4 linked regions of the Arabidopsis thaliana genome follow. The protein of the gene in region 4 interacts with the protein of the main gene of each other region in a pairwise test. Each region holds a gene or a part of one and is shown on either strand. Other genes may lie near its edges. The genes, in order: FEI1, GB2, SMO1-2 and AT5G40640.

The links.
Region 1: the proteins of AT5G40640 (region 4) and FEI1 interact in a protein complementation assay, tested with the Arabidopsis thaliana proteins (one large-scale study listed by BioGRID).
Region 2: the proteins of AT5G40640 (region 4) and GB2 interact in a protein complementation assay, tested with the Arabidopsis thaliana proteins (one large-scale study listed by BioGRID).
Region 3: the proteins of AT5G40640 (region 4) and SMO1-2 interact in a protein complementation assay, tested with the Arabidopsis thaliana proteins (one large-scale study listed by BioGRID).

Annotation. Positions count from the first base shown.
Region 1 is NC_003070.9:11,247,140-11,255,857, reverse strand, and holds FEI1 (Leucine-rich repeat protein kinase family protein), read right to left. Parts: upstream 6,241-8,718; 5' UTR 5,499-6,240; coding exon 5,399-5,498; intron 5,309-5,398; coding exon 5,173-5,308; intron 5,098-5,172; coding exon 5,026-5,097; intron 4,949-5,025; coding exon 4,877-4,948; intron 4,778-4,876; coding exon 4,706-4,777; intron 4,412-4,705; coding exon 4,340-4,411; intron 4,257-4,339; coding exon 4,185-4,256; intron 3,958-4,184; coding exon 3,869-3,957; intron 3,776-3,868; coding exon 3,617-3,775; intron 3,511-3,616; coding exon 3,178-3,510; intron 3,103-3,177; coding exon 2,854-3,102; intron 2,778-2,853; coding exon 2,644-2,777; intron 2,561-2,643; coding exon 2,342-2,560; 3' UTR 1,943-2,341; downstream 1-1,942. Other genes in the region: AT1G31430 (Pentatricopeptide repeat (PPR-like) superfamily protein), read left to right, coding at 121-1,833; AT1G31410 (putrescine-binding periplasmic protein-like protein), read left to right, coding at 6,513-6,774, 6,855-6,994, 7,090-7,338, 7,502-7,636, 7,725-7,907, 8,043-8,204, 8,321-8,718.
Region 2 is NC_003075.7:16,984,798-16,991,419, forward strand, and holds GB2 (GTP-binding 2), read right to left. Parts: upstream 4,251-6,622; 5' UTR 4,043-4,250; coding exon 3,997-4,042; exon of another isoform or gene 3,883-3,996; coding exon 3,743-3,882; intron 3,334-3,742; coding exon 3,251-3,333; intron 2,889-3,250; coding exon 2,684-2,888; intron 2,591-2,683; coding exon 2,522-2,590; intron 2,414-2,521; coding exon 2,321-2,413; 3' UTR 2,043-2,320; downstream 1-2,042. Other genes in the region: AT4G35850 (Pentatricopeptide repeat (PPR) superfamily protein), read left to right, coding at 120-237, 321-527, 649-725, 891-984, 1,247-1,312, 1,415-1,492, 1,596-1,697, 1,786-1,884; AT4G35870 (early-responsive to dehydration stress protein (ERD4)), read left to right, coding at 5,535-6,622. UniProt on the Arabidopsis thaliana protein: Intracellular vesicle trafficking and protein transport.
Region 3 is NC_003075.7:11,952,738-11,959,390, reverse strand, and holds SMO1-2 (sterol C4-methyl oxidase 1-2), read left to right. Parts: upstream 1-2,472; 5' UTR 2,473-2,695; coding exon 2,696-3,031; intron 3,032-3,109; coding exon 3,110-3,432; intron 3,433-3,773; coding exon 3,774-3,921; intron 3,922-4,014; coding exon 4,015-4,047; intron 4,048-4,207; coding exon 4,208-4,267; 3' UTR 4,268-4,551; downstream 4,552-6,653. Other genes in the region: AT4G22758 (PPR containing protein), read right to left, coding at 69-273, 570-914; AT4G22755 (methylsterol monooxygenase 1-3), read left to right, coding at 5,782-6,105, 6,390-6,653. UniProt on the Arabidopsis thaliana protein: Non-heme iron oxygenase involved in sterols biosynthesis by catalyzing the removal of the first methyl group at the C-4 position. 4,4-dimethyl-9-beta,19-cyclopropylsterols such as 24-methylenecycloartanol are the preferred substrates.
Region 4 is NC_003076.8:16,273,966-16,282,150, reverse strand, and holds AT5G40640 (uncharacterized protein), read right to left. Parts: upstream 5,110-8,185; 5' UTR 4,807-5,109; coding exon 4,713-4,806; intron 4,245-4,712; coding exon 4,136-4,244; intron 4,043-4,135; coding exon 3,850-4,042; intron 3,765-3,849; coding exon 3,631-3,764; intron 3,552-3,630; coding exon 3,263-3,551; intron 3,183-3,262; coding exon 3,076-3,182; intron 2,990-3,075; coding exon 2,854-2,989; intron 2,780-2,853; coding exon 2,584-2,779; intron 2,481-2,583; coding exon 2,231-2,480; intron 2,146-2,230; coding exon 1,893-2,145; 3' UTR 1,742-1,892; downstream 1-1,741. Other genes in the region: SDH2-2 (succinate dehydrogenase 2-2), read right to left, coding at 19-689; AT5G40645 (RPM1-interacting protein 4 (RIN4) family protein), read left to right, coding at 1,268-1,276, 1,400-1,588, 1,718-1,741.

The sequences.
Region 1 (8,718 bases), on a different chromosome or scaffold from region 4:
TTTTCAGTAAAATTTGATTTTTAAAAAATAAAGGATGGAACTTTGAATAATAAGACTCTCTTTCTCTACAAAGTTCACAACTTTACATTCTCATTATCTCATATCATCCCCTAAAGAGACATGAACATGAGTTTGTTACAAACTCCATCACTTCTTATGTACAATAAGATGCTCAAATCTCTTGCTGATGGTAAAAGTTTCACGAAAGTTTTGGCTTTGTTCGGTGAATTGCGAGGACAAGGATTGTATCCTGATAATTTCACGTTACCGGTTGTTCTAAAGTCAATTGGTCGTTTGAGGAAGGTTATAGAAGGTGAGAAGGTTCATGGTTATGCTGTGAAAGCTGGGCTTGAGTTCGATTCTTATGTATCTAATTCACTCATGGGAATGTATGCTTCATTGGGTAAGATAGAGATCACACATAAAGTGTTCGATGAAATGCCTCAACGAGATGTTGTTTCTTGGAATGGGTTGATTTCTAGTTATGTTGGTAATGGGAGGTTTGAGGATGCCATTGGTGTGTTTAAGCGGATGAGTCAGGAGAGCAATTTGAAGTTTGATGAAGGTACAATTGTGAGCACTCTTTCGGCTTGTTCGGCTTTGAAGAATCTTGAAATTGGTGAAAGGATTTATAGGTTTGTTGTTACAGAATTTGAAATGAGTGTTAGGATTGGGAATGCGTTGGTGGATATGTTCTGTAAATGTGGGTGTCTCGATAAGGCTAGAGCGGTTTTCGATTCGATGAGAGACAAGAATGTTAAGTGTTGGACTAGTATGGTTTTTGGGTATGTTAGTACTGGTAGGATTGATGAGGCTAGAGTTTTGTTTGAGAGAAGTCCTGTAAAGGATGTTGTTTTGTGGACAGCTATGATGAATGGGTATGTTCAGTTTAACCGGTTTGATGAGGCATTGGAACTGTTCAGGTGCATGCAAACTGCGGGAATTAGGCCGGATAATTTCGTGCTAGTCTCTCTCTTGACAGGTTGCGCGCAAACGGGAGCTTTAGAGCAAGGAAAATGGATTCATGGGTACATAAATGAGAACAGGGTTACAGTAGATAAAGTAGTTGGTACTGCTCTTGTAGACATGTATGCAAAATGTGGATGCATTGAGACAGCTCTAGAGGTTTTCTATGAAATAAAGGAGAGAGACACAGCTTCGTGGACATCACTTATCTACGGTCTTGCGATGAACGGGATGTCAGGAAGAGCGCTGGACTTGTATTACGAAATGGAAAATGTTGGTGTTAGACTAGACGCTATAACATTTGTCGCGGTTTTAACAGCTTGCAATCATGGTGGATTTGTAGCAGAAGGCCGTAAGATTTTCCATTCGATGACCGAAAGACATAACGTCCAGCCTAAATCAGAGCACTGCAGCTGTCTGATTGACCTACTATGCAGAGCTGGTTTGTTAGATGAAGCAGAGGAATTGATAGATAAGATGCGTGGTGAAAGCGATGAAACTCTAGTTCCTGTATACTGTTCTTTACTTAGTGCTGCTAGGAACTATGGGAATGTAAAAATAGCAGAACGGGTAGCGGAAAAGCTTGAGAAAGTGGAAGTAAGTGATTCCAGTGCTCATACTCTGCTTGCAAGTGTATATGCATCTGCTAATAGATGGGAAGATGTAACTAATGTGAGAAGGAAAATGAAAGATTTGGGAATCAGAAAGTTTCCTGGTTGCAGCTCCATCGAGATTGATGGGGTTGGTCATGAGTTTATTGTTGGAGATGATCTATTATCACACCCAAAAATGGATGAGATCAACTCAATGCTGCATCAAACGACAAATTTGATGTTGGATTTGGAACATAAAGAAATTGATAGCTGAAACTTTCTTGTACATTCTCTAACTACTTCCCTTATCATTAACATTTGTTTCCCTGCTAATGAACCGGTTTTGAATCGATGTTGGTTTTGAATCGATATCAGCTTCTCTGTAACTGAATCAGGATTGATTGAGACTGAAGAAGAAGAAGATGAAGGAACATGGATTATTTCAAAAGAACATAAAGGCAGAGAGTAGTTTTTCTACAAAGGTCACAACTATACAATTCAATTTCATGTTCAAATAAAAGTTTTTATACCAAAAATCAGAACAAAAAGAGAAAGGGCTGAAAATGAATGGCTCGAATCTGGTAAAACTGGAGGGGCAAAGTAAATGGCAACACAACACAAAGACTCTGTTCCATTAACTGGAAAATTATGGCTCTTCGTTGGTATTTGCAGGTTTTCTCGGGGAGCAAAAACGGAAATCGAATAGCATTTGAAGGCTTTCCCCGGGAAACCGGACTCGGTTTACTTTTTTTCTCGAGGTTTCGACTGGTGGGTTTATGCAATTAATCAGAGCTGGAATCATAAAATTCGCTGGGACAAGGAGTCATGACCTCTGATTCAAGTAACTGGACAACCCGATGCATCGTTGGACGCTCTTCTGGACTCGGAGACACACACTGTGTTGCTATTGATAGTAGAGCGTCAAGGCTCTCCATCTGCATTCCTTCACAGTTTGGATCAACAATATCCCTTGGCCGTTTTTCGCTGATTAAGAACTTTAGCTGTAAATCATGAGTCAAAAGCTTTTTTAGTCAAGTTTGTCGTAACAAAATATCAGTATTGAAAAAGAATCTTATTTGCATACCCAACCAACAACGTTAAGGCCTTTCTCGATGAAGGAAGCATCGGTTGGTCTTTTCCCACTCAAGACTTCAAGAACCAAAACCCCAAAACTGTATACATCGGTTTTCTCAGTTGCTCTACCACTTTGCATATATTCTGTCAAATGGAAAAGTCTCAGCATTTGAAAGATCAAATCTTTATGTAAGTAAAGACTTTTAAAAGGCATATGTACCTGGAGCTAGGTACCCAAATGTGCCTGCAACAATGGTTGTGATATGAGATTCTTCGTCTTCCAACAACTTGGCTAGACCAAAATCCGATACCCGTGCCTCGAGATTGCCATCAAGCAAAATGTTGCTCGACTTTATATCACGATGTATAATCCGAGGAGAACAATCATGATGCAAATATGATAACCCTTTCGCAGCTCCTATGATGATATTTACGCGTGAATCCCAGTCCAATTGCTCGCCTCTCTCTACTAATTCAAGAACCAAACTTCTCAGTGAATCATTCATAATATGGAAGAGAGCCATAAAGAGCAGATTGATCATACCATGAAGTGCTTCATCAAGGCTACCACCGGGCAAGTAATCATATAACAGTAGCTTTGATGTTGGTGAATTGCAATATCCACGTAGATTCACGAGGTATCGGTGTTTGATGCTCCCAAGAATCTCAAGCTCCCGCTCAAAAAACCGATCAAACCCTTCGTTTAACTTTAGAATTCTCTTCAATGCAAAGACTTTGCCATCATCCATGGCCAGCTTATACACCGTTCCAAAGCCTCCACATCCAATTATGTGCTCTTCATTCAACATTTCCAGCTTCTTAATGATATCTTTGGAAGAGTAAGGTAAATCTCCGTGGAACATCACAATAGACGCACCTGAATTGAAAAAGTCACAATGAAGATTTAGGAGATAGAGAAAAATATGAAATTTCCCAATATTTAACGAGATAATATCTGTACAAAAAAAATCAATACGGCTCACCTCCACCAACATCCTTTGCAAGGCTTTTAATCTCGACTTTACCGAGCTTTTTATATAGAAAGCATCCCCAGAAACACATGAGTGCAACTAGGAGTAGCGCACCTACAGTTGCTGATGCGCTAATCAGCAGCTTACCAGAGTTTTTCTTTTGATTTTGACCTATAAAGTATAAGACACCAAATAAATATAACTTTACTGATAGAGAGCCACAACAAAACCTGTATATCACAAGAAATTCATAATTGCTTTTACCTGATTGAGAATGTGATGAAGGGTTTCCACTATCATCTTGGCACACGACATCAACATGCTTTCCACACAAGTTAAGATTTCCAATGAAGCTGTAGTAGTAACGCATCAGTTTGAGAATCATATAATTTCAGTCGCACTGATACAATCTAGCTAAATAGTTATGTGGTTCAAAAAATCATCTCGAATATAAGCGAAATATGAAAGATCAGCTGTATAAATGTAACTTTAGAGGATTGACAAAAAAAAAAAAAAAATGTAACTTTAGAGGCTTTATTTTTCTATCCCTACAAGAAGAAAAGGGTGTTTATTGTCTTACGAGTTCTTAGAAAATCCAGAGAGCACTCCGTCTGAAGGTATTTGCCCCACCAGGAAGTTGTTCGAGACATTGCTTCATAAGACAAACGAAACAGAAAGATTCACAGGACTGCAATATGATAAATTACAGCGGAAGTTAGAGATTAAGGTGCTCACAAGTTACTAAGCTTTTTTAACTGCCCAAGCGAAGCAGGGATAGGTCCACTGAGAGTGTTGCTTGACATGTCCCTTGAAAATAAAATAAAAAAGTCAAAAGTCAGTTTTAGTAGAGAAAAGAGAACAATCAATATGTGAATCTGAAGTAAACAATACATTATCATGCTTTTCAAATTGCTCACCAAGAGTTTAGGTATAACTAGTTCTGAATATAATGTGCATGAGAAGACATTATGCAGTCAACCATATGTTACCATGATCCTAGATGGTGATAGAAGTAAATGAAAACAAAAAACAAATAGATATTGCATACACTAAAAGAAGGATGCACTTGCAAGTACGTATAGGGAAGAGAAAAAAACATACAGCTTTTGAAGGCCAGGCAGGTCTCCCATTTCAGCTGGGATTGGTCCAGTGAAGTAGTTACTCTGCAAGTGACTGCAAAACCAGTTGGACAATTTTGATGACCATAAGCAACTGGAATTGGTCTCTCAGAAACCATGTGGAATCAGTATAAAATCCTGGAAAAGCGCTTACATTTCCTCCAATGCTGTGCAATTTCCCAATGCTGTAGGTATTGCTCCATATAAAGCATTGTTGTGAAGCATTCTGCAATGACACACAGATGATCAGAATCGAAGTACTCTCTTAAGCAATAAAAATGAATAAGGCTAGAGAGCACATACAAAAGCCTTAAATGGTCCAACTTTCCAATATCAGGAGGTAAAGGTCCCATTATTTTGTGATAAGTAAGATTCCTGCGAAACAAGAGTATTAGGGAGCACAAATACTGAAGAGAAAACCAGTAAACCTTGACAAGTTTGAAAACTTACAAGGTTATAACTCTTTTCGTTTTTGCATCACATGTCACTCCGTTCCAGTTACATGGATCTGGATCTTCCGGTCTCCACTGATGGATGAAACTATCTGATCTAGTAACTGCATTTCTGAAGCTCAGAAGCGCCTCGCCTGAAGAATGGAAACAAGCAATAAAGGATTAAAGCTCAATAAAAGGTCCAGGACGCTATGAATAGTAATAGTTGATTCATATCGACGTACCGTCAGGACTAATCGCTTGACTTTCATTAGATAGTGAGCAAAGCAACGAGATCAAAAGAAGCCATGAGCAGCAGCTTTTCATCTCACAGATGCCCATCATGGCACTGTCCAAGCATAATATAACTACTACCAATCATTTGAAAAGAACAGCCTCTTGGTTGTCAGTTATTAGTTGATTCCATGTCTATGTTCAAGTAAGAAACTAGACTCCTGAAAAACAAAGGAAAGCCCACAAAACTAATTGTCAATTACACTACACATTAAGCTCAGTCTCCACACAACTTATGCATGCTCTCATCTACATTTTGAGTACTCAAAACAGTGAAATTGCCTCACAAGAACCAATACACACTTTCCAATTGCTAAAATCAGAAAACGAGAGCTAAATTCGGCCAACAATCTCAAAATCATCATCAACAAAAGAGCTCAAAAACAGCTCTAGCTTAACATAGATTACGAAATTCCCAGATACCATCCAATCCTATAACACAATAACAACTGAAGATTCGAACAATATAACAAATCCAAAAAACGATTCAGCAAAAGACCCAAAACCCCACTCTTTCCAACAATATCAAAGGTTATAGCTTTAAAAGCAAACAGAATTAGTAAGAATTATAAGAACCTCTAAAAATGGATCCGAGAGGAGGAAGAATTGAGACAGAGGAAGAAGAAGATGACTAATTTGAGCTGTAAAGCAAAAAAAAAAAAATATAACTTAAGGAGAAGATAAAAAAAACAAAAAAGGAATCGACTTTTTATTTTGTTTGTGTGATTTATGGTAAGAGTGAAGAGAGAGAAAACTAGAGTGAGAGAGAGAGAGTGTGTGAAGAAGAAGAAGATGCTTTCTTCTCCAAAGCATACGACCAATGAGAAGAAACGAAGTGGGTCTCGCACGTGCCGATCTTGACCTCCCACACGTGTCAACCGACGCTTTCTTCATAAAACCCAATTATTATTGCCAGCTAGACCTTAGCTAAGCCTAATCTCTACAATGGTCGAAATCATTGGGCCCATTTTTAAGGCCCATTACGGTATAAGCCCAGCGGTTTGATTGAACCGGTTTGAGATTAGAAGCCATTGTTGTCCGTTGTTTCACCATCGCGTTATATCGATGGCTACGGCGGCGATTATTTCCGTGAAACCGCCGGCGAGCTTCTACTGCGGAGGAAACCGACGCGACGGAGGAAGGGGAATCACCATTGCACGAGTTTCTCGAGACGAACGGTTTCATGAGAGGATCGTTGGTCTCTCTGCCTCGACCGTGTTGTTCATCGGTTTAAGTAGCCTCCGCGTCTGTTCTCCGGCCTCCGCTCGAATACTACCACCGCCGATTGTCGTTACAGAGAATGAAATCAACACAGAAACTGTAGCTGGTGCGTGAAATTGAACATTTTCGTCACTCTTGGGATTTCGATGGATTTGAATTTTGTGTTCCAATGGAATGTTTTTGCAGGTGAAGAGAATCTAAATGAAGTTGAAGATGAAGAAAAACTGGAAGCTGATTTCGAAGCGTACAAGTCTAAAGTGTATTCTCTTACTGTCCCGCTAAAACTCGTTGCCTTGCGTGGCTCAGTGCCACCATCATGGATCAAGGTTTTAGTTTCACTTGTCTGTGTTTCCATTTCTATTTTGAATCTTAAGCTTATAGTTGAAAATGTATGTTGTTGGATTCTGTGAATGGAATTTAGGAGTTTATGAGCTCACAAGGGAAGAGAGTGAGGTTAAAGACTCAGTTTCGAGGAAATCTTGAAGAGATCTTTTTCGATCTATCGAAACCAAGTAAGAATGGAAAAAAGGGGGCTGCTTCAACTGCAGCAGCTGATATGATCAGCATTGGTGATTCTTGGCTTAGTTTTGCTATTAAGGAAAAGCTAATTGAGCCAATGAAAGGGATAGAAGATCAAGACTGGTATAAAGGCTTGAGTGATAAATGGAAGGTGAGAATTTAAATCAGTGGTTTAACAATATGAATATGAGTCTTTTTGAAAGAACACTAGCTTGAGAGATTTTAATAGGCATAATCTTTCATGTGTTTTGTTTTCGTACTCTGCTAGCTTGGGAATGTTCATAGGGTTCATTTCATGACTTAGAAAGTCTCAGATTTATCTCCGCAGGAACTATGCGGGAGAAAAAGCTCCTGACGGTGAAACGTGGGCTGTGCCATACCGCTGGGGCACCATGGTTATAGCATACAAAAAGAGCAAATTTCAGAATTATAAATTGGCACCGATAGAGGTTGGTATACTTTGTTGTTGCTAAATGCTGTCTTAGTGTTTTCCTATTTAAAAGAAGTGAATATCACTGAACATTTTGCTGAATTTAGGACTGGGCTGATCTGTGGCGACCCGAGCTTGCAGGAAGGATCGCAATGGTGAATTCTCCTAGAGAGGTTGTTGGTGCTGTTCTCAAATACATGAGAGCATCATACAATACGACAGACCTGGATTCACAAGTTCCTGGCGGAAGATTAGCAGTGGAGAAAAATCTGGCATCACTCATGAAACAGGTTATTACCTCTTTACTATCTCTCCATACCCTAAAGAGAACAGATGAGTTTAGGCTGACGTGTTTCACTCAACCTCTATAGTTATTGAGAAAAAATGACAATGGTGGCTGATCTTGTTTCCCCTTTTGCTTATAGATTAGACTATTTGATAGTAACAACTATTTAAAAGCTTTCAATGTCGGAGATGTCTGGGTCACTGTTGGTTGGAGCAGCGATGTTATCCCTGTCGCAAAACGTATGTCTAATGTTACAGTGATTGTTCCCAAATCCGGTGCCACCTTATGGGCTGATCTATGGGTAAGTTACCGTCGTAAAATCACTTAACCCTTCATCTGATATCTTGAATGCTTCTTGTTCTAAAGACGATATAACATATCTGGACACTAAACCGTGAAGCATAATTGTTTTTCAAGGCGATCCCGGCTGTTTCTGACTCTGGTAAAGAAGCAGAACAAAGAGGAGGACGAGTCCGAGGCCCATCTCCATTAATCAACCAGTGGATAGAATTCTGCTTGCAACCTGCAAGATCGTTACCATTCACACGGGAAGTAATTCCTGGTGCATCTCCTTCAGCTCTTGATGGTCCTCTGGTTACAGAACCCGAAAAAACAAAGAAAGACAGAACAAAACTGGACACAAACCTGGTCACAGGTGTTCCTCCTCCGGAGATCTTGTCTAAGTGTGAGTTCTTGGAACCTTTACCAGAGGCTACGCTATCGGAATATCGGCTTCTGATTGAAACTGTAAGGAAGCAAAGCCAAAGACCTGGCCTTGTGGAGAAACTAAAGGACATTGTTTCAATTAAGGTTCG
Region 2 (6,622 bases), on a different chromosome or scaffold from region 4:
CTCTTTGATAAGCTTTTATCCCACTTTTCTCTGTTTTAAGTAAGTACTTGTTTATCTCTTCAGCGCTATCTAAGAAGTGATCTAATCTTTTTCTTATCTGACATCAAATAAATTGTTAGATATGCGATAGTTCGGGATATGACTGCTGCTGGTGTTGGTTTGAACCAGTTCTGCTATGCGGGACTCATAACTGCACACTTAAACAAGCAGCCCAGACCAGATAATCTTTCTACTAAGGTAACGTGTAAAGGTTTCTTGTTCAGATTTCCTTTTATTTTTTTTAAAGTAGGTTTTCTCACAGCCTCCTTTTTGCTCAAAAGATTCTCGAGTTTGTGGAGCAGTCAAAAGGCTGGTCAGCAATTGATTCATCAAGGAAGAGTGCAGAAGATGTGATGTTTAGCATCAGTGAAGAAGAGCTGTACAATATTCCAACCGCTGATTATTCCCACAGGACCAGGTTTCTGCAGAGGAATTTGACTGTGTATCACGTAGCATTCAGTGCTCTCGCTGATCTGAAGGATGTAAAAGTAAGATGATCTGTCTATCTAGATTCCAAAATGTCCTGAACTTAGTGGGAATAAAGATAAAGATAAGAAAAGCCAGTTTCGGAGTTTATTTTTGCATCTTACCAGCAATTCCTCATGGCAGGCAACGGAAGCTCTTCTTGAGATGCTTAAGAAAGACGGAAAAGATACTGACACTTACTGCATGCTACAAATCATGAGGTACAATAGAACACACACTTTGATGTTAATTTGCATCTAGATGTTAAAACATAGGCAGTCTTTAGCTACGAAATTAACTTTTGTTACTAGTATACTACACTATTAACTCTCGTTGAGAATCAAAACATGATTAACGTATATGCATCTTATTTTATATCTACGCAGGTGCTATCTACATTCGCAAGACTTTGAGAATGGTCTCAAACTGTTTCAAGATTACATGAGCGCAGACAAAATCCCTGCCATGGAACTATACACGGTAACACAATGATCTGACCTCATAACTGGTGTTTTCTATATTTGCTTTGAGAGTGAACGTCTTCTTTACTATATATGTCTTATAGTTGTTGATTCTCAATTGTCAAACCCCGCAAATGTATATACAAATAAATCTAAATTCTCAACTAACGCATTAGTCGAAGAGAATTATGCTTCTGTCCTGTTTCCCATACTTGGTTCAACATATCTTTGGGTGATATGTATATGCTGAAGATGTCAATTTATTTGTTTTATTTTTACAGACGCTTATAGAAGGAGCTATGACAGGATACACCGATAATGGAATGAAGATTGCTCAGGACACTCTGGTAATGCTTATTGGCTCGAGCTGTACTGAAAAAAAGAATCTATGAAGTAAACAAAACACGGGCCAATAGTAGAGCCTGATGACAATTTGTTTGTAAATGCAGATCCAAATGAACGAACGCAATTTCTTCTTAGACCCAAGAACTGGAAGCAATCTGTTACTCAAAGCCGCTGGTGAAAAGGTAAAAATCTTGAACTTCCCCTAAAAACTTTGGAAATATCTTACTGATATAAAGAGTTGGCTTAGTGAAAGTTAAAAAAAAAAAAACATTTTCTTTATGGCAGACGGGAGGGTACACAGTTGCAAATATGATATGGGATCTGATGCTAGCTCGGAATATTCTACCAACACTAGCTGCTGTTGAAGCTTACTACAAGGGCTTGAAAGTAATAAAAAACCTTTTTCTTATTTGACCACAAACTTTCTTTCTCTTGGTATTAGTTATTGATGGTTTTTGTGGTGTGGTAATCATAGGAACGCGAAATACCAGAGGATGATCCGAGACTGATGTTAGTGACGCGAACATACAATAACTTGCGGCTTAGGGAAGGGACATTACCTAATAGGCGTTAAAGCAAAGGGACCAAGAGGAAGAAAGATGGTATCATGGCTTCTTCGTTTTCTACTTCTATTTGCTTATTGGGATCTCTGTGAACCATCTGGGTATTTTAAAACCAGTTCGTTTAGATGAATAAGGAAATTTCACCTAGATGATGACTGGATATTATTCTGATTTGATTTCAATTACTTAACCTTGAGAGCTTCATACAAAGCGACAACGTTTTAAATAAGCCAACGCCTGTTTGGTTTATAAAGATCAGCCTGTTCACTCTTAAATGCACCCGTTTGGTTTTTTGATAAAAGACAATCTGGGAAAAAGAGAAAAAAAGAAAGAAAGAAAGAGAAACTATACATTCTGGTGTATCCATTTGCAGAGGTAAATAGAAGCAATAGTAGTTTCTGAATCACCAGATTACAGCAGATATGTGACACCTCTCTCGAGGATTTTTTAACCACAACAGCCACCTCCCTGAGAGATCGTACCATCTCTTCCTCCAGCTGCACCTTGAGTACGCCCGTAACCAATCTTGATACCTGATGACTGCAAAATTTAGAGAGACCAAGGGAATTGAATCACATTGTAACACAATCGAGGGATTAGAGAACACCAGAAGACTAAGTATATTGCCAGATTCAACAAGGAAATTACCTCGTTGGATACATCAAAGACACCATCCTGAATGTTCTGGAGGATCTTGGCAGCAGTCTCTATGAAGGCCTGTTGGAATCCAGAAAAAGAAGACAAAAGTCTCCATGTGATTACAGCCAAATAACAGGATGGGGAAAAAGAGTTGCAAGGAAGAAATGTCACCTCCTCAACGTTTTGAGCAGTTCTTGCAGATGCTTCTAAGAATAGCAGGCCATGTTCTTTGGCAAACTGTTGACCTTCCTCTTTGCTAACAGCTCTCTTGTGAGCAAGATCACATTTGTTCCCAATCAGCATAATACTCATGTTAGGATTTGCATGTTGCCGAGCATCCTCCAACCAGCTTGCCAGATGGTTAAACGTCTCTCTCCTGCAACCCAAAGAACCAAGAATTTTGAGCTTCAGAAAGATCAAAGCATGAAAAACCTCAATGATAAAACTCTTGCAATTCTTCATGTCCTTCATAACTTTCAAAATTCCAAAACAATGGAGGAAAAATATCTATTTTAGCAAGAATTTAAGATGGATGGTTAACTTAACATCCTCCCAAACAAGCATTGCCAATATTATAGCCAAGGATTTTGTTCAGATAAAAGTAACTTCCCAATTTCCAAAACCTTTCCAACAGTCTAGGTTTATCAAATCACAAATACAGAACCAATCACTTCCAAAACCTTGCTGGGGAATTCAGAAGTTCGAGCTGATATATATTGTCGCAAGGCAAAAACTAACCTGGTGATGTCATAAACCAGTAAAGCTCCGGCTGCTCCTCTGTAGTATGATCTGGTGATGGATCTAAAAGATTCTTGTCCAGCCTAAAAAATATCATACGAAACTTTAATCAGAAAGCACAACTCCAACACATACATCATCTAATGGAAGAACTATTGACCAGAAGAAATCACAACAAGGAATGCACTGGTGAACTCAGCTTCTATTACAATAAGCCTATGAAACTTAATCAAGAACCGTGCAATGATTAACTTTTTTGAAATTTTACCCCACTTTGAGTCTCTGGACATGATTTTCAAACATAATTTTTGGTATTGGCAATTCTAATGAGGCATTGTTTATATAAAAACGAAGAAATTGAATTGATTATGACAATTAATCTTCTTAATCACATCCTGCCTTAGGGAGAAAAAAAAAACAATCCTAATCGATAAAACGTGATTAGTTCCCTGATGACCTAATTACGACCAAGAGAAGAGAGAGGAAGCGTACGGTGTCCCAAATTTGGAGTTTGATGGGGCGTCCATCGACGGTGACCATCCGAGCACCGAACTCAACACCAATGGTGAGATCGTGGACTGGTTGGAACCTCTTATCAGTAAATTGCAGAAGCAGACACGATTTTCCCACACCTGAAACGACAAAAAAAACAACAACGAAAACACATGAAAATCGGCACGAAATGGATTTAACCCAGAAAAATAAAACAATTGGGAATTAAGAAAGGTGAAAGATCGGTCTCTCACCTGTGTCTCCGATGATTATGTACTTGAAGAGATAATCGTAAGACATGGTTGATGAATTTGAGCAAGGTCGATGATGAATTAGCGCAGGTCGATGGGTTCGAGAGAAGGAGATGTGAAAGAGAGGAAGAAGAGATTGAAGAGTACAAGTCACCGACGTGCTTTTTGATTTCGAGGTTTCTCGATGAAGAAGCTATCTTCTCCTTCTCATCTTTTATAATCTTTTTACTTAATTACTAAAATTAAAGGGATCTAATGACGAATTATCTGAATAATTGTTTTTCTTTTGTATCCTTAAGTTTCAACAGTAAATAAAAATCCACACAAAATACTCTATAGTATAATTTATTAATTATTATAGTCGTTTTAGTTAATTATTTAAAAACAGAGGGACCAGATGAAAAATATCTGGGAAACAAATTAAAGCTTAAAATCCATCTCTGCCTTTGGCTCCGTCCACTCTGACTCGACTAGTGCATCATCCATTGTTGGGCATTTGATAGTTTAAAGTGGGCTTTTTTATTTTTTTATAATGTGGGCTTTTTTCTTTGATGTTGAATGGCTTGGTTAGTGGATTTCGAGACCAGCATAAGTTTCTTTTTTCTATTCATCTGAAGCATGGCGCAGTCCATAATCGCTAAATTGATGATACAAAAGAACTTGCACATCAAAACTGTGAACTTACCAGAAATTTGCATTAGCAAAAGCTTCTTTTATTATATGATGGGGAATACACACGTACCTTGATACAAGGCTACTAATATCAATTGTGTCCGGATTATCACGGTAGTATGCTCTGTTTCATATCTCTTATGGAAATTACATAACTGTGTTTAAGATGAATGTTCTAGTGGGAAGATAAGAAGAACTCAAATCCTACATTAGAGATGAGTTCCTTACAAATGCTTATAGTCTACAATGGCAAATTCGAGAAGCAAATTCGAAACAGAGTTCCATCCATTAGAGAACAGGGGATGTTATTTCATCCCAAACTCAAACCGATCTTAGTTATGTTATTTCGTATTTTTTTGGGTATTTTACCTTCAAATTATTTGATTAATTTCATGCTTTAAGGAGAATTTGATTAAAATGAATATACAAGAGTTATGAATTTGATTATATTCTCTTATTCTACTAATCACGAAATATTTAGAGAATATGTAATTATCGTTTAAAGAACTATCGTTTTATTCATAAAAACTCTGTAAATTACCAATTTGATATACTTCTATCAAATTATTTATATTTTTTAGTTGTGTTAATTCGTTTTTTTTGGGTGTATTTATCTTAAAAAGATGGGATTAAATTTCATGATTTAAGGAGAAGAATCTTTTGAGAGATTCGAAACCGCGATAGCATTCCTTGTTCCTCCTTTTCTATTTACCTTTCTACTTTTGCCATCATCTTCGTCGATCTACTTCCCCCAAAGTCTAACCCTAAAGCCCCCAAATTTCTCCTGATCAAAACCTTGTTGTATAAATCCTGAATCTCTGAAGAAACTTCGAAGATTTGGGTTTCTCAATTTGGTTGAGAAATTCGCGATGAATCGCAATTTTTCACCAGCTGCGATGCCACCGATTTCATCAATGACAATAGATAATTCATTCTCTCCTCCTCCATCTTCCGGCGACTTACCTGAAATCCCAGATGCTTGGTACGGCAACATTCAGTATCTGCTTAATATCTCGGTCATTGGTCTCTTATGCTGCGTCTCCATCTTTCTCTTCGTTAAGCTACGCAGCGACCACCGTCGTATGCCTGGTCCTTCTGCTCTCTTCTCTAAGCTCCTCGCCGTTTGGAAAGCCACGTGTCGCGAGATCGCTCGTCACTGTGGTGCTGATGCTGCTCAGTTTCTTTTAATTGAAGGTGGAAGCTTTGTGCTTCTTTTCTCCATTGCTGTTTTAGCTGTTTCGGTTATGCTTCCGTTGAATTTATATGCTGGGACTGCTTTGTTGAGTGATGAGCTTTCGAAAACGATGATTACGCATATTCAGAAAGGTTCAGCTTTGCTTTGGCTGCATTTTGTGTTTGTTGTTATTGTTGTTGTTATCTCGCATTTTGGAATCGCTGCTATTGAAGCTAGGTTGAAGTTTACTAGGTTTAGAGATGGGAATGGGAATATCAGTGACCCGAACGCGAATTCTACTGCTGTGTTTACTATAATGGTGCAGGGTTTGCCTAAGAATTTAGGGTCTGATAGAGTTGAGTTTGAAGATTGCTTTAGGCTGAAGTACCCTGGGAAAGTTTATAAGTTTATTGTTCCCATGGATTTGTGTGCTTTGGATGATCTTGCTACAGAGTTGGTTCGTGTTCGAGATGAGATTACTTGGTTAGTTGCCAAGATGGACTCTAGGCTTCTACCGGATGAGTATGAGAATGTTGGAGATAACGGACTAGTGTTCTGTGTGTGTTCTTTGTGGGTTAGGGTGAAGGTTTTGTGGTCTCAGATTACAGAGAGGTTTGGATTTACAGATGATGAAAAACTGAGGAAGCTGCAAGAACTGAGAGCTGATTTGGAGTCTCAGTTAGCAGCTTATAAAGAAGGACGAGCACAAGGCGCTGGGGTTGCTTTTGTGATGTTTAAGGATGTGTACACAGCTAATAAGGCTGTTCAGGATTTTCGAAACGA
Region 3 (6,653 bases), on a different chromosome or scaffold from region 4:
TGTGCTTTTATTTTATTAATTCTATATGTAAAAACAATTATTATTTTTGGATAATTAATATATCTTACACTGGATGCTGAAATGTGACTGATGCAATTCAAAGGCAGAATCTCGATCGAGTTTTGGAGTTCTTCCTTCTTTACAGTACTTGTCAACGACAATTTTGATCGTTTCTTCGACGTTGCAACTCAGTTTAACCATTGCTCTTACCGGTCCAGGACTTCCTTCTACTGCTACACTGATTATTACTTTTGGTGCTTCTTTTGTATTACCCTGTTTCGAAAAATAATAACAAAATGAGGTTCTCTGATTTTAGAAATTTAATAGAAATGTCAATTTTTGGTATATTTATCACGATCTGATAACATGAACTGGAGAACTGACTCTAGAATTTGCAGCTGAACTTAAAACTCTTTGTTCAGCCTATATAATGGTTATATTGAAATATTTTATAATATTAGGCTTAAACTGTAAACTTTTAAATCTTTGTGGACTAAATGATGAATTCTCTTACAGAGTTGAAATCATGAATTTGTTGATTTGAAAAAATAGAAGCAAACGACTCTGACCTCTTGATTGATCGGAGATGAAGACGAGGGCGAATATAAGTTCAACAACGACGGAGACGAAGCGAAAACCTCAGAGCGAATCCTAGGCAAGTAAACGATCGGTTTTGTTTCTTCTTCCATCGGTAAACCTCTCATCGGCGATGGTCGCCGCAAGTGATTACTCTGTCCGTCGCGGTGGCGATTAAGACTCGGCTCTGAGAAGCTTCTCTCGAAAACCTTATTACTCGATTTAGAGCGATTATTCTTGTCGGAAACATATCTGAAAGCTGTTCGTCTTGTTCTGGAGCTCCGACCTCCATTTCCTACAGGATTCGAAACTTTTCTCCGGTGAATCGAATCAGACATTTCGTGAATGATGATCTTTGCTTAAGGAGGAGGAAGAAGAAAAAACAATTGAGAGGTTTTGGTGGTTTGCTTGGCAAAGAAGCGAATTAAGAGTTATTCTCTGCTTTTGCTTTGCTTTACTCTTTTATTATCTTCTTTTCTTTCATTTGTATTTTTCAAATGTTTTTCCAAATCAAATTGTTTTTTTTTTTCTTTTTAACATAAGTGTGGATTTTAACATTTAAATTCAAACCGACCAAAAAAAATACACGATTAAAGGTAGTAATATAGACGTGGTTCTTGTAATATAGTATTTATATTTCCTGTCGACGATCGATTCTTTTATAGTATGATATCTTGTGCTGATTCTTACGTACTTGTGTTTATTATAGTAAAATAGAAATGCGTTGAATTGTAGCACTGTATTAGATTAAAACTTCTATGTAATTATGGAGCTAAAATGTTTTCTGGTTAGCATACGGAGTATTTTTTAAAAAATCTATCCTTATTATGGATAAAATGTGTTGGAAAAAGGCAATAATATACTTGTACAAATGAATATAAATTTCTTGATGCATTGTTTTAGAAGATTACTTGGGAGACTCACAATCCTATAAAGTGTAAAGGAAACAAAACTATTGGATTTGTAGAAAAGTTGACACGTTAAACAAGAAAACGAGAAACCCAAACAAGTTTCGTAAAACACAAAAAATCTAAGGTGATAGTGAGAAGCACATAAACAAATGAAAAAAAACACATAAACAATTAGAGAGGAGGGAGACTCAACTAGTATCATCAATTCATTAAATTTTACGAAAGTGCTGAGTAATGGAAGTAATATAAAAAATTTATAACCAAAAACAAGAATTCATCAACGTCAAGAAAAAACAACATAAAATAAAAAGGAGAATTTGTGTGGCTGAGATTGGTCCGAGGTTTGTTTCCACTGTTAAAAGAAAGAACTTTTGGGCTTGATTTAAAGTCATTAATGGTGTGGTCGACTTCTCTTATGCCATACGCACTCATGTTCACGCGTAACGCACTTGTTTTCCACCAAGTATTTAACAACGATCGTTTGTGACCCTTTTTTATGTATACTTGAAACTTAAAAAATATGTATTATTACATTTAAATATCATTTATTGTCATGACGAAAAAATTGTAAGACTTTATAATTTCAAATGTAACGTCACTTTTCGTGATGATGTAATACCATTCTATTACTTAAATACAATTGGCCAACAGCCTCAATTTATTTCAACCTTTTGCTATCTCTATAGTATAATGGTGTCATAAAAATTCATAGACACATTCCACAAAACTCGTGTATGTATATCCGTGTCTTTATATATATGTGTATATCCAAGTGTATAATAAAGTTTTTTTTCTTAAAAAAAAAAACAGAAATTTGTATGCACCATTTAAACAATTAAAGAAAGAAAATTGGGCCTACTCCAAACACAACGCTACTGTGGAGTACATTTTATCCATTTTAATGGCCCAATAATTTATAATGGGCTTTTAGTATGGGCCATTTTGTCCCTCTTTTTTATGTTGTAAGCGAGATCTTGAGACAATGTTAGTAATTTTGGTTTAATCCGGTTCAACAAGTAAACATCACACTTGTAAACTAAACCGATAATGCCACGTCACTACTCCAAATATTCGCCAAATCATAACAGACAAAATCCAACAACAACGACGACACTCTCCTCTCTCACTCTCTCTCTCAATCTCAATCTCAATCTCACGTCAACGACCGTCGCCGTCACCGGAAGGAAACGATTTCATCATCTTCTACAATGATCCCATACGCAACAATCGAAGAAGCGTCGATCGCATTATCTCGAAACCTCACATGGCTAGAGACTCTCTGGTTCGATTACTCCGCCACCAAATCCGATTACTACCTCTACTGCCACAACATTCTCTTCCTCTTCCTCATCTTCTCTCTCGTTCCTCTCCCTCTCGTTTTCATCGAATCATCTCAATCCACCTCAGATTTGTTCAATCGCTACAAAATCCAACCAAAAGTGAAAAACTCATTCTCATCGATGTTCAAATGTTACAAAGACGTCATGAAGATGTTCATCCTCGTCGTTGGTCCATTACAACTCGTTTCTTATCCTTCGATTCAGGTTAATTTCTGGAATTTGGCTTCTAATTTCGGAATTGATGCGATTTAGGTTGATTTTGTTTTTCGTGTGTTGAAACAGATGATTGAGATACGAAGTGGATTACCATTACCATCATGTATGGAGATTGTAGCACAGTTAGTGGTTTACTTCTTGGTAGAGGATTATACTAATTACTGGGTTCATAGATTCTTTCATTGTAAATGGGGTTATGAGAAGTTTCATCATATTCATCATGAGTATACAGCTCCTATTGGTTATGCTGCTCCTTATGCTCATTGGGCTGAGGTTTTGCTTCTTGGCATTCCCACGTTTCTTGGACCTGCTATTGCTCCTGGTCATATGATTACCTTTTGGTTGTGGATTGCTTTACGACAGATTGAGGCTATCGAAACTCATAGCGGGTAAGGAAAAGGAATGGTTTTGAATTGTTTATCTTAGTTTATAATGCGTTGGGGCTATGTGGGAAGTTTCAATAGTGCGTTTACCTTTTGTTGGTGGGGCTAAGGTTAGGCACTAGCCTTTTCTGATGCTTTATTGACTGTAATTAGCTCTAGGTGATTGTTTAGAGACTGCTTAGTTAATCTTTTGTGGTCAACATGAGCAAGAAATCATTCTTGAGATGATAAGCATCTTGTCTTGTTCAAATAAGTATTTGGACAATATGATGATTGCTTGGTGCATGAAACTTGTTTCTCTGGAGATAAATTGACTTGTTTTTTTTATTTTTCGTTTTCTTTTGAAGATATGATTTCCCATGGTCTCTGACAAAGTACATTCCATTTTATGGTGGAGCTGAGTATCATGATTACCATCACTACGTTGGAGGACAAAGCCAGAGTAACTTTGCTTCAGTTTTTACTTACTGCGATTACATCTATGGAACTGATAAAGTGAGTAATGAAACTTCAGTTCTTTTCCGGTTAGCGTCTACTAATTCTGGATAAAAATTTGACAATGTGGGTATATGTTCTTATTTTCATCAGGGTTACCGATTCCAGAAGAAGCTTCTTCAGCAGGTAAATAAATACTCCATAAACTGAGACTAGCTTATCTCTCGGCATACCGCATACCCATAAACGCAGCCATCAAATTGCAAGCTCACATAACAGTATATGTGGTATCTAGTATCATCATATTGATGATATGTTTCTTGATGCTATATCTTATGAGTTGCAGATGAAGGAGAAGTCCAAGAAGAGCAACAAGCTGGTTAATGGAGGAGAGAAATTCGATTAGTAAATCTAAAACCCCTCGCGAGGTTGACTTACCGTAAGTTTCAAGCATTCTACAAATGTAGTCAATACTTAAAAATGAAAGGGTAGTTAGTTTTCTCTGTTCTGGTCTTCCCTGTGTCACATGAAAATGCTCGTGACGAGTTCCTATCTGAAGTTTTTTTTAAAACTCTTTTGGAATTGGTGTGTGTCAATAAATCCTTTTTGTATATTTTAAATGTTACATAGTGCATTCATTGGCTTGTAACAAGTTCCTACTCTGATAGTATTAAGTTAAGTTAAGTATAACTTAAGTATCTAACGTTAACAACAAGGCCCGTCTAGCTCAGTTGGTAGAGCGCAAGGCTCTTAACCTTGTGGTCGTGGGTTCGAGCCCCACGGTGGGCGTTTCTTTTCCTTTTTGTTGCATTTGAGTGGCATGATTTAAAAGGAAAATCCTTACCATAACGATAGTTGCATTGATGATGGGGGTCGATTTCACTCTCGGAAAACAAATCTAATCAAAGAAGGCTAAAACAAGCGAAACACATGCATTTACTAAAGCTGTCTCACCAAACTTGAAAACAACAGTTTTAAGTACAGTAGTAGGTACAATAACTTATTTAGTTGTTACCAACTAATTTATGACTTTAAAATCGAAACACTCTCTTCCTTCCTGTGTTTTTTCAACTAAACCTAACAACACACAGTTTTTCTTTAACACACATTTCCTTGTTCTCGTTGTCTTAGAATTACCATGGACACAGTGAATATGATAATAACTTCAAGAATGGGGTTGTAGCTGTGTGAGGCTATATTTTTTTTTTTGGTTTAATGAGGCTATATTGTAAACTACTTCAATAAGTTTTTACTCTTAAACCAATTCACGAAAGAGTTTTAATGAACTTGATATTAAGTTTTTGTCCACACATATTTTGTGTATCAACGAGTTTTTCTTTTCTAGACGTATGGATCATCACTCTTCGTTTCGTAGATTGTTAAACAATGAAGAAAGGCTTTAGCTATTCAAAATCATTTGGTGAAAAGAAATTACTCCTGATGATAGGTCTATAAATGAATTTGCAACAAATATTTCCGAACATACAATTTTAGATATCTTCTAACCTAAATAACTACTAAAAAATAACAACCTTAGTAACTTTGAATTTTCGTTTTATATTTTTAAAAAACGAAAATGTGACCCGTTCGTATCAAATATAGACGTAAAGAGATAAGATATGTTTTGTTGTGTTCTACTAAAAAGTCAAAAAACAAATACATTGAGGACCCAATTTGGCGGACTTCTCAAAGGGTAAATAATATACCAAAAATTGGAAAAATCAAAAAAAAAGAAAAATCACCGAAATTAATTAAGTAGGTACCATGTTTCGACATTTGTGCATCTTTATATAGTTTTTCAAGCATCCTCATCATACATTTTCCAAAACACATTCAAGACACGTTTTATGAGTCTATAACTCCAAAACAATGCTATAACATAAACCACACAAATTAATCCAGACACAACACTCTCACAATATGATCCCTTATCCAACCGTAGAAGATGCGTCCGTGGCGTTAGGACGAAACCTTACTTGGTTCGAGACGGTTTGGTTCGATTACTCAGCCACCAAATCCAATTTCCATGTATATTGCCACACCATTCTGGTTCTCTTCCTTGTCTTTTCACTAGCTCCTTTTCCTCTTGTGATTGTCGAATGGACCGGTTGGTTCGATCAGTTTAAGATTCAGAAGAAGGTTAAGTATTCGTTGTCTGATATGTTCCAATGTTATAAAGAAGTCATGAAGTTGTTCCTTCTCGTCGTCGGCACATTGCAAATCGTTTCTTATCCTTCCATCCAGGTTACTATTCATTTTAAATTTTCATTTATTCTTTAAAACAAACAACCAAATATTTTATGATATATGTATATTCCTTTTTTTAAGTGTTGTTTTTGCAACGTTTTTTGTGTGAGTGGGTTGTTATACAATTTTGTGCTTTTTTTTTTGGTTATTTAGAGAAAAATCCCATTAAAATATTAAATTGAAACGTTATATTATTGCATATATGTATATACCCTTCTTACAACACTTTTTTTTGTTAATTTGTGATGTTCTTGAGATATACTATATGTGTTAATTGACAGATGGTTGGGATTCGAAGTGGTTTGCCATTACCATCGTTAATGGAGATAGTAGCACAATTAGTGGTTTACTTCTTGATAGAAGATTACACTAACTACTGGATCCATAGATGGATGCATTGCAAATGGGGTTACGAGAAGATTCATCGAATCCATCATGAGTACACATCACCTATCGGATACGCATCGCCGTATGCGCATTGGGCCGAGATTTTGATTCTTGGGATTCCGACGTTTCTTGGACCGGCAATTGCTCCTGGCCATATA
Region 4 (8,185 bases):
AAACAAGATTAAGTTTACCTGTTGGCATGAAGCAAAGCAGCTGGACCAAGATAAGACTCAGGGTTCCACCAATAGCTAGGGCAAGACGTGCTACAACAAGCACAGAGAATACATTCATACATTCCATCAAGCTTAGCTCTATCTTTCTTACTCTGTAAAATCTCTTTCCCAGGAACAGATGCTGGATTCTTCCTCTTCAACCACGGCTCAATACTCTTATACTGATTATAAAAATTCGTCATATCCACAACCAAATCCTTAATCACAAACATATGCGGCAACGGCGTAATCGTCGTCTCTTTAGATCCAGATTCAATCTTCGTTAAACAAGCAAGACCATTACATCCATCAATGTTCATAGCACACGAACCACAAATACCTTCACGGCAAGAGCGACGGAAAGTGAGCGATGGATCCATCTCGTTCTTAATCTTAATCAAAGCATCTAGAACCATTGGACCACAATCCTTGAGATCGATTTTGTAATCTTGAAGCTCTGGCTTTCCAGGATTATCTGGATTCCATCGATAGATCTGAAACGTCTTCAGACTCGCTCCTCCGCCGCCGGTTGAAGCTTTCGATTGTGCTTCTGATCCTGTTGATGTCCATCGCGCCGGAATCAATCGCGCCGCCGTGGATAATCGTGATGATTTGGTTCCAACAACTCTTCCGATCAAACCAAACGCCATTTTCTCGGAGAAGAGAGCAAATGAAATGAAATTGTTTTTTTAATAGTCTATTAAAAATGATTAATTTGTTAATAACCTGTAATTATTAATTAATTATTATGTAAAAATGTATGTATACGTATTTGTAGATGTGAGGCTTAGCTTCGTCTACGTAATAACGACCGTTGATTAAAAAACTTGGAAAATCGTGACCGTTTATAAATACCGGCTTATAGGTTAATCACAGAGATTAATGGATAAGTTCTGAAATGCGCGTGTTCGCCTCGAGAAGTGTGTAGATCACGTGGCGAGTTTTGATACGATGAAGTTCACTCGAAAACAAAAGACGGTACGAGAAAAAGCGTTCCGTTTCGCTACAAAAGATTGGTGTTTTCTGTTTTCAAGTTTCAACAATAATTAAAACGTTAACCTATATTTAAACTTTCAGAAAACGCTAATCTGTTCTCAAATTCTAATTCTTTAAACGTAATCAAATTCTTTTAAGAAAACAAAAACTAAAAGAGAAGACAAACAAGTTTTCTTGTTGTTTGAAGAAAGATCATCTCATGTTCTGTTTGCATCTTTTACACAATCTTTGAATGGCATCGGTAAGATCTTTCTCATTTCTTTCTCATTTGTTTCACAAATTTGATACAAAAAATAGCATTTTCATGTGTGTTTTCGTTGGATTATAATAGAAATCAAACATTTTTGTGATTGGAAACTTTCAGAATAATCAACAACGACAACAACAAGATCGACCATTACCAAAATTTGGAGAATGGGACGTGAACGATCCAGCATCAGCCGAAGGATTTACGGTTATATTCGCTAAAGCTCGAGACGACAAAAAGACAAACGCAAGTGGTCGTGCCGCCTCACAACGCCGTGACAATAACAAATCTCAAGATGAACCTACGGTAACATTTCTAATCCCAATTGCTCAAGATTTTATGACTAACGAAAACATCAGCCTATGTTTGTTATGTTTTAGATCAAATGAGGTCTAAAGTGAAAGAAAAACTAAAAGCTTGCTATTTCTATTGCAGAAGAAACGGTTCTGCTGTTTCTGAGAAACAACACATCATCAAGCAAAAGCTGAATGTAAAACATTTGTTAGATAAATGAAACAGTTTCATATTCACTTGGAATCTGTATAAATTTATCATTACAGAGCTAAAAGCAGACGAAGTTTCGGTCTAATTCTGGTCGCATAACATTTACTTACACAATATCAATGTCTCTTAACCCTCTGTTTGGTGAATCTTGATCTGACCCATTGCTACTTGTCTTTTTCTTGAACGATTTTTGGCTGAAAATCCGAGACACCGTTTTCCCGGGACGTGGAACTGATCTCGAACCGCCTTCAAAACGGTTATGTTTATTGTCTAGATCATTTGATAGTTTCTTGACTAGTTCCACAAAATGTCTTCTGAATGTTGGATATCTTGATACTGATTTGGTTAATCCTTGAAGCCTAACCAAAACCAAAAACACATCTTAGAATCCGAAGTAGAAAGCCGTAACAAGATTGTGTGTGTTTTTTTTTTTGCCTTTTTTACCTGCGAGCAAAGGCATCAAGTTCGGCTTTTCTGAGTTCAGTTAGAGGAGGAGATTCAGATTCAACAATGGAGCTTTTAAGTCTCTCTGAATCTCCAAAGAGTAATACCAATTTACCAAGATACTCTTCTTCTTCCTCGGATAGGTTTGCAGCTTCGATCTGGTCTTTAAGGATCAAAAACGGATTCAGAAACCAATCAAAAAACGCATCTTTTGGGCGGTTTCTGGTAGTTATCTCCGTTACACCGTCACCTAAACAAAAACACAGAAACGGTTTTGTTTGTTTCTTGATGATGTTCAAATAGTTACTAGATAATGCGGTTATGAAAATTGACAGAAAACTGTTGAAACATACCGAGTAATAAACCGGTGGAGTTAGATTTGATAGAGCGTAAAAGCTCGTGAAGAAGAGAATAAGCAGGTAAGCCAAAGCTGATCACTTGACTGCCTTTGCTAGATTTAGCTTCTTCAATGTCTTTTGAATTTATAATCCCTTTCGTTACCATAATCTCTCCGTGCCGCCTACATTCCACAAATAGAGCCTCCAAAAGCTGCAAAGATCAAAAGAATAGGCTTCAGGTTTAAATACAAAGATAACCAAAAGAAGAGTGTGACTAGTGAGTACATCAAGCGGTTTCAGGTCAATCATTGGGCCTTTGTTTGATCCTCCTCTTGATGGAGTTGTCTTGAAGGAGTTCGGTCTTGAAAGACCACCAGAAAATGCCGTACTAGCGCCCTCTTCGTTTCTTCGATATATTGGCCTGTTACAAAACCATAAAACCACTGTTTTAGAATGAAAAGAAAGAGAGAGAGGTAAAGATTGCTAGATAAGCCAATGGAGACAAACCTGGGAAAGCAAGAACCTTCAGGCATATCAAGAACATCGTTGCTATACTCATCGTAAATAGAAACAGAAGCAACAACATAGCAGAGACCGAAGAAGAACGATGACTCCTGTGTTATGACAAGAGAAACCAATTCAGTATCATCAGCATTCACATTTTCCTCAAAAAAAAAAGTCATTGTTTAATAACCTGATATGAGACTACACCGCCATAAGCACCAAGGAAGACACTAGAGACCACGGATCCTAAAACTGCTCCAACAACAGCTAAAGGCCAGAGTAAGATCACAAGGCCAGCGATTGGGACACACATTGTTTCCAAGAAAGGACCTTCACGTCCAATGAGATCATGAAACAAACGGTGCCACCCTTTGAACAACATGTACGGGCTTTTACACAATGCTAAGAGTGAAATCACTGGGAAATCAACAAGAATTCCGAGAACCGCAACAATCACAGCACCTGGAATTTGAAGTAACCTGAGAAATATAAGTGAAAACTGTAAGAAAGCACTGTTAAGTAATCAATACACACAATTTACTGAAATTTTCTGAAGACCTTATTTCATAATAGTGACGGTTCGCAGTAGATGTTCGAAGATCATCCATAAAAGAAAAGTAGGAGTGAAAGCAAACATCTTTAAAATCACAAACAACGGTGAAACTGCCTTGAACAGTGCTCCAAGTTCCATCCTAAATTGTGAAAGCAGACAATGTAGGTGTTGAGGTCTAATCTTCAATAACATAAAGAACGAGACATGGAGAAAAAGAGACTTACATAAAAGCAATGGAAAAACGGATTAGACTTCCCTTCACCAACAGCATCGAAAGTAGCAAATATTGGAGAAAGAAATCCATAAATAGCTCCTCCAAGAACACTTCCTAAGATACTAACCACAAGCCAGAGAATGACACCAAGAGGAACGCATAAACACAGAAAGATCTTCAGGATTGGTCCTAACTGTTTAGCACTGATTTCAAACAAAAACACTTCAACAACATCGAAAGAGATAACAATGGTATTATTATAGAGGGCAGAGATTGTTTCAGAAAGAAGTAAGTACCTCGCTATCGAATATAGAGTCCAAATCGCGTGTACTGGTAAAAGGCCTAAGATGATTGCAGAGTTTCCAATAGCCACAGTAAGGCATATAAGCGGGCATAAAACGATACCTAAGCAAACAAAAAAGAAGTAAAGAAACGTTCACAACAATTCATTCCCACAAAACTTGTCAACAAGACTAGTAAAAGAACTCACGGATTTGGCCTTTGGGGCTTGCTTCAATTAAAAAAAGAGAACTTTATAGTACTGAAGAAACTAATTTCATACCAAATTCACTAACTTCGGAAGCACTTGATGAATGTTATGTACCAATTAATCACTCTTAGATAAATCCTAAGCCACTAAACTAGTGAGCAAGATCTCTAAAACAGAACAACGTTCACGGATTAGGTGTTTACTTCAATTAAAAAAAGGGAACTTTATGGCATTGAAGATCGCTAAATTGGTTAGAAATGCTAATTTCAGTAACTGTTGAAGCAAATTGATGAATAAATGAAACAACCCTAATGGAGGCCTACACAAATCAAGTAAGCCAATCTCATGTCAACATCATCGAACTCAAGTCTGAAATTTGTTACCTTTAATGACACCGAGAAGCAGTAAACCAGTGAAATAAGGAATGAAGAGTATAAATTGCCACAGAGAAGCCAAGATTCCCGTTGGAGGCTCCATTAGAACAATCTCTTTCTCTTTTGCTCTCTTCAAATTCAACAAAGACCCATCAGTCAAAATGTCGCATTTAGAACAACCCTAGAATCAAAATGAAACCCTTTGAAAAGAAAAGGTAAAGCAGAGATTTTTATGAGGAAGAGAGAAAGAGAGAGAGAAATTCAAACTGTGACGGACACGACAAGAAGCAGAACAAGTTTTCTTCTTTTTTTTTAATATTTAAAATTTCAATTTTGAACAGCAAACAACACGAAAGATTCGAGAGAGAGAGAGAGAAGAATATGTCACACACACATTAGATTTGACGGTTAAGAAACCGTCTATAAACCCTAAACCAAAAAATACATTTAAAACTGAATAAATTAAGAGTATATTTTTTAATTTACATATTATTTCAATTTCGTGTGCTGCTAAATAAATCGGGTGTGTTTCTTGGTGATCGGTTTTTGTGCTGCTGTTTAACGCATGGGCCAACACATCCTCCTCCTCGTATTGAGAAGAGAAGCACGAGATAAAGGAATTGGAGAAAACGACATGAACCGAACATTTTTAGTGTTTCTTTTTTTCTAACGTCGACACTAAGCGACAGTTAAAGAATCACATTATCATTATCTTATTGTTTATTACATTTAAGTATATATTAAAAGAGAGGTTTTTTTTTTATGTGGCAGTTGGCAAACCCATTATTTTCTACTTTATTTTCTAAAAGCTATTGCCACCTTTGCTAAACACATAATTTTCATTTTTAAAATGAACTTTATATGAAACATCACTATATATTAAATGGTATCATTGGAAAATATTACAATAAATCTGTTTATAAAATTTAATAGTATAAGATTTATAATTATTTATAAAAGTAAATATTATATACAAAAATAAATAATATAAGTGATAAGACTAATAATCTATGGCTCTATGCATTCTAACCTAATCGGAAGTAAAGAAGGGAAAAAGAAATATAAAAGCAATCAAAAGCGAAGACAGGTGCTCCCTCTTCTATGGTTTCTGAATTACTCCATTTGTTCTTTTTTGTTTGATTGTTTAGAAAAAACATACATATTAAAAAAATATATTAAATATTGATTATAAATATATTATTTTTAGTGTTTTACAGTTTTCTATACCTCTAAACCAATGATAATTAACTATTTTTCTTGAAAATTACAATTCACCAATACTAACCAATAAATATTACATGGAAAACTTAAAAAATCAATCTTTTAGAAACAATTTTTTTTTATAAACAATCAAACAAAAAAGAACAGATGGAGTATTATTTTTTCTTGAAACAAAAACATAATTTGAAATTGGATTAACTGGTAGACCATGGTTCAACTTGGTACGACTGGTCAAACAAAGTTTAGTATTTTTTATATATTTTTTAATTAAAATTGTTTAACCCCTCCAGCTCATCAAAAATCACTTTGTTTGAAATCATACATGAGGAGTGTGATGGACCTATAATAATACAAGTGTATAAATGATTTGTTAATTTTACTTATAATCAATTAGTTTTAAGTAGAAGCATATAAAACTTAACATGGTATCATGAATGTTGTTATAAAATTATTTGTCTTATAAGTCCAACATATAAAACTCGATTGACTTGAAGGTTTTTGTATAAGATTTTTTTTTTTTTGAATAATATAATATAATTTGATTTTTTGAAGGTTATAGGATAAGATTATTTGTCTTATAATCTAATTAAAATATATATAATAAGAAAAACGATTATTAACAATTGTTTATTTTAAATGTAATAAACAACATATGAGACACGCTTTTAAAATGGGAATAAATATATTATTAAAGTCATTAAAAAGGAAAAATACATATGAAGAATTTGAAATTGAGAAATGAAAATTAATTAAATAAAAACAAAAGAACTGAAAAAATTTACATATATAATATCATAGTTTTCAACTTTTAACTTTTGTTTCTTGTTGAAATCAACTTGTCATAAATTACATAGACAAGCAGAAATGATATAGTTTACGAAAAAAAAAATTATAAAGACAAAGTAAACTTAACTCTCAAATATAAAAGTCCGACCAAATTGATGGAGAAAGCCGGCCAAAGTCTTCAAATTTCGACGGCATCACGATCAACTCATGATTCTCCAAGATACGAAGCCCATATGAAATGTGTCTAAGTTATAATAAAATTTCAGACTCTTTTGGACGGCCTAGTGTACTTTAGACATTGGCCCAATCAGTACGGAACAAAAACTTGAAGACAACAAACTTCAAATCAAACTTATATATAATTTGTTGAAACATTACCATGAACTGGTAGCGAGAGAAGATTGGGCCTATGTCTAAACTTATAATTTGTTGAAACTTCAAACTACTACGCCGACTAGTCACTATCTAATAGAAACATTACCATGAACTGGTATAGCGAGAAAAGAGCAAGATCACATGAGCAAATTTTTTGGAAATTGTCCGAGAATCAACCTTGTGTTCCAAACGATATTTAATAGAATACATTCAAAGTTATTTGTGCAATGAGAAATAGCTTATGTTGTGTACTCTTTATTTCCTATGCCATTGTTAAATTACTTAACGTGAGACCTCAGCTTATTTAATCAACTTTGTTTTAGTGTTAAGTGGTTGACATCGGACGTTAGTGTTCTATGTTTCATATTTGGAATTACTTTTGAGTATTTTTAGAGATTTTAATCTAATATCAACCATTCCAAGCAAATTTGATTTTTCGTGTGTTGACAAATAAAGAACCCACTAACTACTTGATAAGTTTTGATAACTTTATTTATATCTCTTTTACTTTTAATTTTTCCGCAGTTACAATTAAATTATAATAGACTAAACGATGCTATATGCTCACGACGACTTAAACAACTAAACAAGTACCAAATAATCTCTTTTACATATAAGCAGATTTTATTCTTTTACATACAATAGTTAGTCATGCATAACGTGCTTGCATTAGTAACTCTTGTACTCTGCTTAATATTTTTTGTGACCTATCGCGTGATTCGTATCTATTTCGAATCCCTTTTTCTATATTGTACGAGAAAACATTAACTTGAAGAAATTAAAGTACTCTTTAGACATCTTTAGAGTATGTTTTTATCCCGTCATAAGTTTTAGATTTTACGGTATGTTTTTATACATAATTAACAGAAGAATTATAGAATAATAATATTTGATTCTAGGAAATCGCATCAAATATATTGACATGCGTAGTGTATCTCTCGTCATATTTGTCTGTTGACCGGCAGACTTTTAGATTTCTATTTCTCTTTATTGCTTTCGTGAGGTTGAATCTCAAGCCCATTACGCTCCACAATTCCATGTTTTTATAACCTAAAGAATGCAAAAGACATATATACAAGTTCCATGTTTTTGTGGGTAAC